Canis lupus familiaris: one gene and its partner. The protein of the gene in region 1 purifies or fractionates together with the protein of each later gene. This does not show direct contact. Links are inferred from orthologs where the notes say so. Each region holds a gene or a part of one and is shown on either strand. Other genes may lie near its edges. The genes, in order: PDGFRB and RASA1.

Region 1 (4,504 bases):
GATTCTATTAGTTTGGCAAATATTTATTGAGCACTTTCTGAATGCCAGGCCTGTTCGAAGCCCCAAGGAATGACAGCAGTGAACTTCACAGTAATGGATGGGAAGTACAACGAAAGTGCTCAGGGATTGCGGGTCCCTGTCATCTCACCCTGCCCACACTGCTCCCAGGCTGAGCGGCTGTGAAATCTGCCGCTGGGAGGCCCCCAGGGAGGCCTGTGGAAGACAGTGGAGGAAGATGTCCCCCCATGCCGAGGGCCCACTGCCCACAGGGTTCTGAAACATGTGCAGGGAAGTAAGATGGGCATGGCAGGCACTTCAGGGCAGTCTAGGGACCCTCTCATTCCTTCCTCCCTCCCCACCACACTCAGCAGCCCATCCTGAGCAAAAACCCCAAGTGCCCTCCTCCAGTCCAGAAGGTCTCAGAGCCAGACCATGCCTGGAAGGTGGAGGTAGGCCTTTAGACTGGTCCCTTCCAGGGGCATAGCTCTTGGTGAGGCATAGACTAACTTCACTGCCGAGTCCTGTTCAGGACGGAGGGAGGCCAGTGGGCCTCTCTCAGCCAATGGCCTTTGGGTCCAGCCCTGAGAAGTGCAAGATCTACTACGCACCTTTATCAATATTATCCTCACGGAGACTACATGCCTCCCTGCTGCCTACAGAGGAGGGGGCCGATGCCAAGAGAGACAGAGCACTGGCCCAGGGTCACACAGCCAGGCAGGAGCCAACTAGGGAATAATACACAGTCCTCTGATGCCCAGACCTGATGTTCTTTACCCCAGTGCCCAACACCTTCCAGATGTGGATACAGCCCAGAAAAAAAGGATCCGGGGACCCGAGTTGGCAACATAGCGGACTTGAGTTGAGCCAGGGCAAACGCCAGGTCTCCTGACTCTGAATCTGCGGGGCTTTCCGCTGTCCCACATCTGGGGGCAATTACAAATCTCAGCTCCTCTTCCCACAGAGGAGGGAGGGCTGTCCCATCACCACTAAAGGGAAGGTGCTGGCCAGATGGTCCTCCTTCCTCACTTAGGACCTGGCCAGACTTCGGGTAGACCCAGTGCAGGCGGAGCCTGCCGCCGAAGGTGCTGGAGCCAGGAACGGCCTCAGTGGGAGAATGGAGACTCCCTGCCTTCTGCCCTGGGGCTCCCTGGGTAGCCAGGGGGTAAGTCTTCAGTTTCAAGTAGACTTTGGCCTAAGTACCAACTCTACTAACTATGTGACACTGGGAAAATCACATAGCCTCTCTGAGCCTTGGCTTCCTGGTCTGCAACACAGGGGTAACGACAATACAGATTCCCAAGAGCTGCTGTGGGGGTGACAAGGTGTGTGGGGTCTCGGCTCTGTGCCTGGCACAGTGAAAGCACTCCATGGCGGTGACCCACACAGCAGCACTATGGATCCGGAGCTACGGATCCGGGGCTACGGATCCGGGGCCTGCTGCAAGGAGGCAGGGGAGGACCGCATGACCTCAGATATCTCCCTAGAGGCCTCCTGCATTCTGGGATGGCAGACAGGCAGGGACACTCCTCCCTGTTTGACATAGAAAAATGCAGTCTGGAGGAACAGCGTGCTGTTCTGGAAGGGCACCTGAGGGAAGGGTGGGGCTTGGTTCTGGTCTCACATTTGGGAACAGCAAGTCTTCAGTGAGCCCCTCCTACCTTTTGCCAGCACATTTTCTGTTTCACTGCCTGCCTGTCTGCATATGTTGGGGACGGAAAACAAGATGGGGTCACTTGGGGCCCAAATGATCTCTGATGTGCACACAGAGCACAAACAGGAAGAGAAGGCCAAGCAACAAGGCAAAGGGCATGGCAAGCACTTGGAAGACTGGAAGGACCCCGGAAGGCTGCCTGGAGGAGGGGGAGGTAGGGCATTCCCTCCATTTTCCTTCACGGAAAATGAGGAGGGGCATTCTCACAGGCAAGATTGTGCATACTCCTCCTGGGGACCCTGGGATCTGACTGGCGGGAACACAAGGACCAAGTTTGGAGAAATGCGGCAGGGAGCTTATTATCTCCCCAAGCTCTGCCAGTTACTAGCACCGTGATACAGTTTTGTAGCTGCTGTGAACCTCACGCGTAAAACCAACATAAAATCCATCCCTGCCTCTGGAGCCGCTGGTGAGTTACGTGAGATCATGCTCATAAAGCTCTCCGCACAGTCCTGGCATGCAGTAAGTGTCAATCAGTGGCAGCTACTATTAGGAGTTGGGGCTTTCTATAGGGGAGACTCAAAGAAGGAATCGTGATCAGATTCATGTTTTAGGATGGAGTGAAAGCAGCGTCGGAAGGAGGGAGACAGCGAGGCGGCTTGAGCAGCTGCCTGGGTCCAGAGGGAAGGGCCCAGCAACCGACTCCCCCTTCTTTCCAGAGGGGCCCCTACATCTGACGGCGGATCCCAGGCCCCCAGCCCCACAGCCCCGACTGTGAGACTGTGACTGCTAGGCTAGGCCTGCCACAGCCCCCTTGCCTTCGCACTTTCCCAGCCACTGGGGGTTTGGAAGGACATCTTAGGAATCTGGAAAATTTGCAAATCCATTTAAATCCCCAGAGGTTGCCTGGCGGCCGACTGGCCTAGAGCCAGACAGATTCTTAAGGACAAGGCTTGGGCCCAGAGACAGGGGCCATGGCTCTGAAGTCCCCTATCCCCTGCTAGATCTCCATTCCGTGCACCCTCCTTGCTGCCTCCCAATTCCCCTCTCGAGCTCCTGCCAGCTTTCCCCGGCCCTCTCAGGCGGTTCTATGTTTTGGAGGCCCTCAGTCTGCACCCAGAAACCTCTGGGGTTCATTTGGCAAAAGCAGGGGACAGCAGGGCTATGGAGACCGGCTGGGCCACCCACCCCAGAAGCAGCCTGAGCAGGAGAAGAGAAAACTGGCTCCTCCAGCCCTGACGTCGCCCACAGCCTCCCAGCTTCTTCCCATCTGGTTTTGTTAAAAATATTTTCCATTTTTTGACCTACCCAAGAAGGCACAGACTGGAGCAAGGGGACAGGACAAGGGGCTGGGGATCCCCCTTCTCCCAGCACTTACCTTGCTGCTGATGCCTTCGGGGGTGGGCACAGTCCTGAGCTCTGGGCTGTCACCCCCTCCAGGAAGTCCTCCTCGCTGACCTCTCATTAACAGAAAGACTTTGCTGGACTCCCCAACGGGGCCACGGCTGGGTCGCAGAGCAGGGAAGACAGCCTAATCTCCGGGCCCTGGGAGCCTCAGGAGGATGGAGAGAGTGGGGGGCTGCAGGGGTGAGTGAGGAGTGGCCTCACTGCCAAAGCATCCTTCTGGAGGAGCAGGGCTGCCAGGAGGGGCCGCCCTGGGTCTGGCCCTCTGCGCTGCAGGGCACAGGCTGCTGCCCCCAGCTGCTGGTCAGGGGGGCCGGGTCCTCTCCGTGCCGTCCTCCTGCCCTCTGCCTCCAACTTGTTCGCAGAGGGATCCTGGATCCCAGACGGGATGGGCAGGGACTGCGGGCGCTGGCAGCCCGGGAGCTCACACCACTGTGGGCTTCCCTGCCCTCCCCCTGCTTTGGGGGAAAGGCTGCAGGGCCGCCTCTGATTGGCTCAGCCGGGAGCAGGGGGGCGAGGGGGCGGGGAAGGTGGACGCGTGTGTCTGTTTTCAATTTCAGTTTCTTCCCCCTCTTTCTTTTCCCCCAAGTTTCTTGTTTTTCTTCCTTTTTTCCCTCTGCTTGCTCTCTCCGTCGCCTGCTCTCTCAGGATGTGAGGGGATGTTTAGAAATTCCGCAGCCCACGCCAACCGCTGAGTCACTTTTATTAAAAAGTGGTCCGGCCCCACCTCTCTGATGCCCTGCCGCGCAGCACCTGGGGCCGACTCCCTTGTCTGTGCCTCAGTTTCCACATCCATAAGGGCAGCTCTGAGCACCTATATGATTGATTCAGGCAACATCCGTTTATTGAACAAGCATGTGCTAGACACCATGCGGGGTGCTGGAGGTGGTAGTGAGCAACACACAGTCCCTGACTCCAGGGCTGCCCTGGCTAGTGGAGACACAGGAGGCACAGGGAGGTACCCTGAGGAATAGCAGGGGGGCTGAGAGTGCATTTAGAGGGGCAACTAACTGAGGCTTTGGGATTATCAGTCGCTGTCACAAGAAGAAACCCAAGGCTCAGGTGTGAATTGGCACAGAGAGGGAAAGAGACCTGGCGATGTCACCCGGTGTACTTGGGATTTCCAAACACATTCCTTCCTGTCATCTCGCTGTCCCTCAAGTACCAGGAAAGGGTTATTTCCCCATTTTATAGACAATGAAACAGAAGCCCAGAGAAGAGGAATGAGCTTCCCAAGCTCCCACAAGCAATGGCAGAACTGGAGTGGAATCAGGTCTCCCGAGTTCCATGACAGAACAGACACAGGTGACCTGACCCCGGGGCAAGACTCCCATTGCAGAGCAGACTGGGCCTCCTGCCCCGCCTTCTTCCAGGGTTATCCTTTTCTCTGCATCTCATTCAGTCACCCAACACATATTTTCGAGTACCTGCTAATGTCCCCTTTCCAGC
Region 2 (4,266 bases), on another chromosome or scaffold:
GAACATTTCTTCAGTACCTTACAAAAGATTTGGCATTAGTTAACCAAATCATTAAAGCCCTTTAAAAATAGGAATTCAGGGATCCCTGGGTGGCGCAGCGGTTTGGCGCCTGCCTTTGGCCCAGGGCGCGATCCTGGAGATGGGATCGAATCCCACGTCGGGCTCCCGGTGCATGGAGCCTGCTTCTCCCTCTGCCTCCCTCTGCCTGTGTCTCTGCCTCTCTCTCTCTCTCTCTCTCTCTCTGTGACTATCATAAATAAATAAAAATAAAAAAAAATTAAAAAAAGGAATTCATAGAAAAGATCTGAACTTCATCTCTAAACCTACTTAACCTGATGGAAACCTTTATGAAGTCATAATTCTTAATATAGCTAACCATGGTAGCTAGACCTCTGGAGTACGAACCATTGCCTAAAGTAACTATCAGTGAGGGAGTTCCCTGTACCAATAGAATCAGTAGGCAATTTAATGGCAATAAAATATTACTGTTACTTTGGCATACTATTTACTGAACACTTACTATGTGCCAAGCACTGTGCTGACTGAATACTTCAGGGTTCTCATTAAATCTTAAAAACGATGCTATGACGGAGGTACCATTATTATCCCCATTCTACAGATGGGGAAACTGACCTTTCCAAGATCACACAGTTATAAGTGGTAGAGTCAGGATTCCAACCCAAATCTTGTCTAACTTCAGAATTTGCACCCTTAAACACTACACTGTATTGCCTCCAGTGACTCTGGTTTGATATCTAAGATAAAGAAAAGAGGGTAATTTGTACTCCTCAGTGACAAATTTAAAAAACATACTTGAAATGGAGGATACTTTTCAGAACATTTACGATTCTCATATATACAGTCATGCAAGTATTATTTTTATTCCCAAATATATATTAATGATGATGGAAACCTCACACAATAGACTTCTAAAAATTTTTCCAAATACTCCTTCATGTTTATCCTGAAAAATCTAATGGGAACACTATATTTTCTGCCCAGTTTTGCTGTGAACCTAAAACCATTCCACAAAATCACTTTTTTAAAAAAATTTATAACTACAATATACAAATATGCCTAATATAACTCAGTTACAAACACTGGCAAAAGACTGCCTTCTTTCAGTATGAAAAGTTGCACTTTATTATAACCCTAGTGCTGAGCATGGAGTGATGTAGTGAGCGCTTAAATATTTACTGATTCTTTCAAAAAGGCTTGAAGGTGTGTAAACAGTGCTGTAAAATTCAAATTTTTCACACTCCCAGAACACCTTCAGAGGTCTATAAAACAAACACATAACATGGTAAGTTGGAATAAAGTTAGACAAAAAAATTAAACTCTTACTGAGCAGTATACCACGGCTGACACAAATCAGGCTACTTTTACCTTTCCCCCTTAAATATCAAAAGATGTAGCCCTAGGTTAAGAATGGATTATCACAGAATCTTTTTCTAATCATTTTCTAAGTCCTTTCTAAATCCTCCAAAGCTTATCCAAAACAAACAAATACTTTCAATTGTCCAGAGTGAATGTCATCATATGAACCAAATATTTTTTCCTCTGATACACCAAGGCTGTCGAAATTCTAAAGGTCAGATAATAACTGATGTGAAGGATCCGTAAGAACGGTTTTGCCATCTATTACCCCTTCCCAGTAACACTCTCCTCTCATCAAGGTCCACCTTTACAAACACACACCTATGTTCACTTATGGAGGGAACAAGGGGAAGGTACTCACCGTGTGAAAAAAGCCATTTGCCCTAAATGCCCTGCAATATACCGTCGCAACTGATTGCCAAATGGAACACTGCACTGGCCACCAACAAAGTATTGAAGTATTGACAATTTTACTTGAGAACTGTGCTTACAAAGCCTCAACTATAAAAAGATCAGGCTGTTATCAATAAATGGGAATTTCACGGCCTACGTCACAGACCCCGTAAGAGGAGAGAGACCCTTCACCACACCTGTAATTCGCAGAACTCCTTTCCTTTCTCGCCGACCCACATCTTCAGGAGAGACCCGAAGACTTTTCTGCATCGCTCTGCCTCCGAAAGGCTGGGGATGCACAGCACCACAAAGGCAAAGCCTTCTGACCGGTGCATGTTTAAAATGGTCATCAATACCATACTCCTTGGAATACTTGCATACCCAAAGCCTTATGACTAAGGATAACCTGACTTCAACAGGGAATGCACGCACAGGCTGAGAGAGACTCTACGGCCCGGGCAGCTGCAAGCTCAGCTGAGCCCCGGGGACGCAACCTCGGCTTGGAAAAGGCAGCACCGTATCCGGTTCCCGATGGATACACATGCCCCCCCTCCCCCCCCTCCCCCCCCACTCTCCATGCTTTCCTAGCTCAAAAACTTCACTTCTTCCCAGGGTCTAACCAGAAAGATGCAAAAGACGCCGAAGGCAGCGTGCACGCCCTCAGGGAAGAGGAGCGATCCAATCAAGTCCCGACGCACGCCAACCCCGAAGGCTCCAAACTTTTTCACCAACGGATCGCAACTGCAAGAAAAGCTGCAGGTCCCAGGGGTTCGCACTTGTGCCCAGGAGCCGGCGTCCCCGGGCCCGGGACGGCTGCGTGCACTTACTGGTTAGTCGGAGGCGCGGTCAGGGGGATGGCCACCTCTTCCTCCTCGTATTCGGGTCCATCCAGGGAGTCCCCTTCGTCCACGGTTCCCAGGCCGGCGGCGCCCAGGGCGGGCAGCTGAGGCGGCGGCGGCAGCGGGGGGAAGGCGCCGCCCGCCCCGAAGGTGTCCGCAGCCAGCGAAGCGGTGCCCTTGGCGAGGGCCGGCTCTCCCCCGGCCCCGGCGGCCCCGGCCCCGGCCCCTCCCCCTGACAGTCCGGCTCCCCCCACGGCTCCCGCCCCCGGCCCGGCGCCCAGCGCGGCCCCGCCGGCCTCCGGCAGCCCGGAGCAGGCGACGGCTGGCACGGGCAGCGCGCCGGGCATCCTCACCCTGCACGCCGCCGGGCAGGCGCTCGAGCCCGCGGCCGCGCCGCCCCCCGCCGCCCCCGCCGCCCCCGGGCCGCCCTCCTCGCTGCCGCCCTCGGCCGCCATCATGTTGAAGCCCGCTCCGCTCTCCGCTCTACGCTCGCCCGGGAGCCCCGGGGGCCAGCAGGCCCGGGCTCCCAGCCGCCCCACCCGGGCGCGTCCCCCTGGCGGCTCCCCGGGCGGAGGAAACGACAACAAAAGGACCGAGCCCGCCGCCGCGCCCCCTCCTCGGGCCACAGCCCAGGCTCCGGAGCGGCCCGGGTTACGGGAAGCCGAGTGGGCAAAAAACCTACCGCCGGCACCAACGCCAACCCGCACCTTCAGCCTGCACACCCACACTCACACACATGCACACTAGTGAGAAACTTCCTGGCCGCGCCAGAGAGGAAGGGAAGCACAGAGGAAGCGGCTGGCGCGGCTGCCGCCCGCTCGGCCGCCGCCGCCGCTTCACCACCCCAGTTCCGGCCACCCCCACCGCAGCCACCGCCGGTGCCGCTGCTGGGGCCCGGGCCGCGGCGGCCGCTGCATCCTCCGCGGGGCTGGAGGCGGGAGGGGTGGGGAGAGGAGAGGAGAGGAGAGGAGAGGAGAGGAGAGGAAGGGGCGGGGGGCGGGGAAGCGGGCCGAGCGGCTGCCGACCTGGAGCGCTCGCGGAAACCGACTAGAGAGAGAGGGAGAGAGAGAGAGAGAGAGAGAAAGGAAGGCGGGGCGCCGGAGGAGGAGCCGGCCGCGGGAGGAAGGGCGGGGAGCAGGGCCGGGGCGGCTTGTGCGCAGGCGCGGCCCTGGCGCGGGGGCGGCCGCGCTGCTGGGCCCGAGGGAAGGAAGCGGCGGGGGCGCGCGGTGCGGGGGACCGGCCGCGGGGGGGCGCCCGCCCCGTCCCCGCCCCGCCCCGCCCCGGGTCAGCGTGCGCCGCGGAGGGGCGGGCCGAGGGCTGGGGGGCCCGGCTCCGCGAACGCGGCGGGGACGCTGCAGGGGAGGGGGCAGCGCCGAGGAAGACGGCAAGGAAGATGCCGCGGAGCCGGGGCCCTGCTTCCTGCTGGTGGAAAATAACGCCTTTAGGAAGCGGCGCTGCCGGGGCCCGGGGCCGAGGGGGAGTGGCAGGGCTATCGATTTGTTTGATTTTCGTCGCATACTAGAAATCACTATATGACTATTCCGTGTTTTATTTTATTTTATTTTTAAGGTTTTATTTGTTCACTCATGAGAGACAGAGACACACAGGCAGAGGGAGCAGCAGGCTCCACGCAGGGAGCCCGATGCAGGACTCGATC

Evidence for each region.
Region 2: the proteins of PDGFRB (region 1) and RASA1 purify together in Homo sapiens (co-immunoprecipitation; 5 studies listed by BioGRID and IntAct, with this or other methods). This does not show direct contact. The link is inferred for Canis lupus familiaris from reciprocal best matches to the Homo sapiens genes PDGFRB and RASA1.

The regions. Positions count from the first base shown.
Region 1 is NC_049225.1:59,839,839-59,844,342, reverse strand, and holds the start of PDGFRB (platelet-derived growth factor receptor beta precursor), read right to left. Parts: upstream 3,074-4,504; 5' UTR 3,030-3,073; intron 1-3,029. UniProt on the Homo sapiens protein: Tyrosine-protein kinase that acts as a cell-surface receptor for homodimeric PDGFB and PDGFD and for heterodimers formed by PDGFA and PDGFB, and plays an essential role in the regulation of embryonic development, cell proliferation, survival, differentiation, chemotaxis and migration.
Region 2 is NC_049224.1:21,307,483-21,311,748, forward strand, and holds the start of RASA1 (ras GTPase-activating protein 1), read right to left. Parts: upstream 3,068-4,266; coding exon 2,598-3,067; intron 1-2,597. UniProt on the Homo sapiens protein: Inhibitory regulator of the Ras-cyclic AMP pathway. Stimulates the GTPase of normal but not oncogenic Ras p21; this stimulation may be further increased in the presence of NCK1.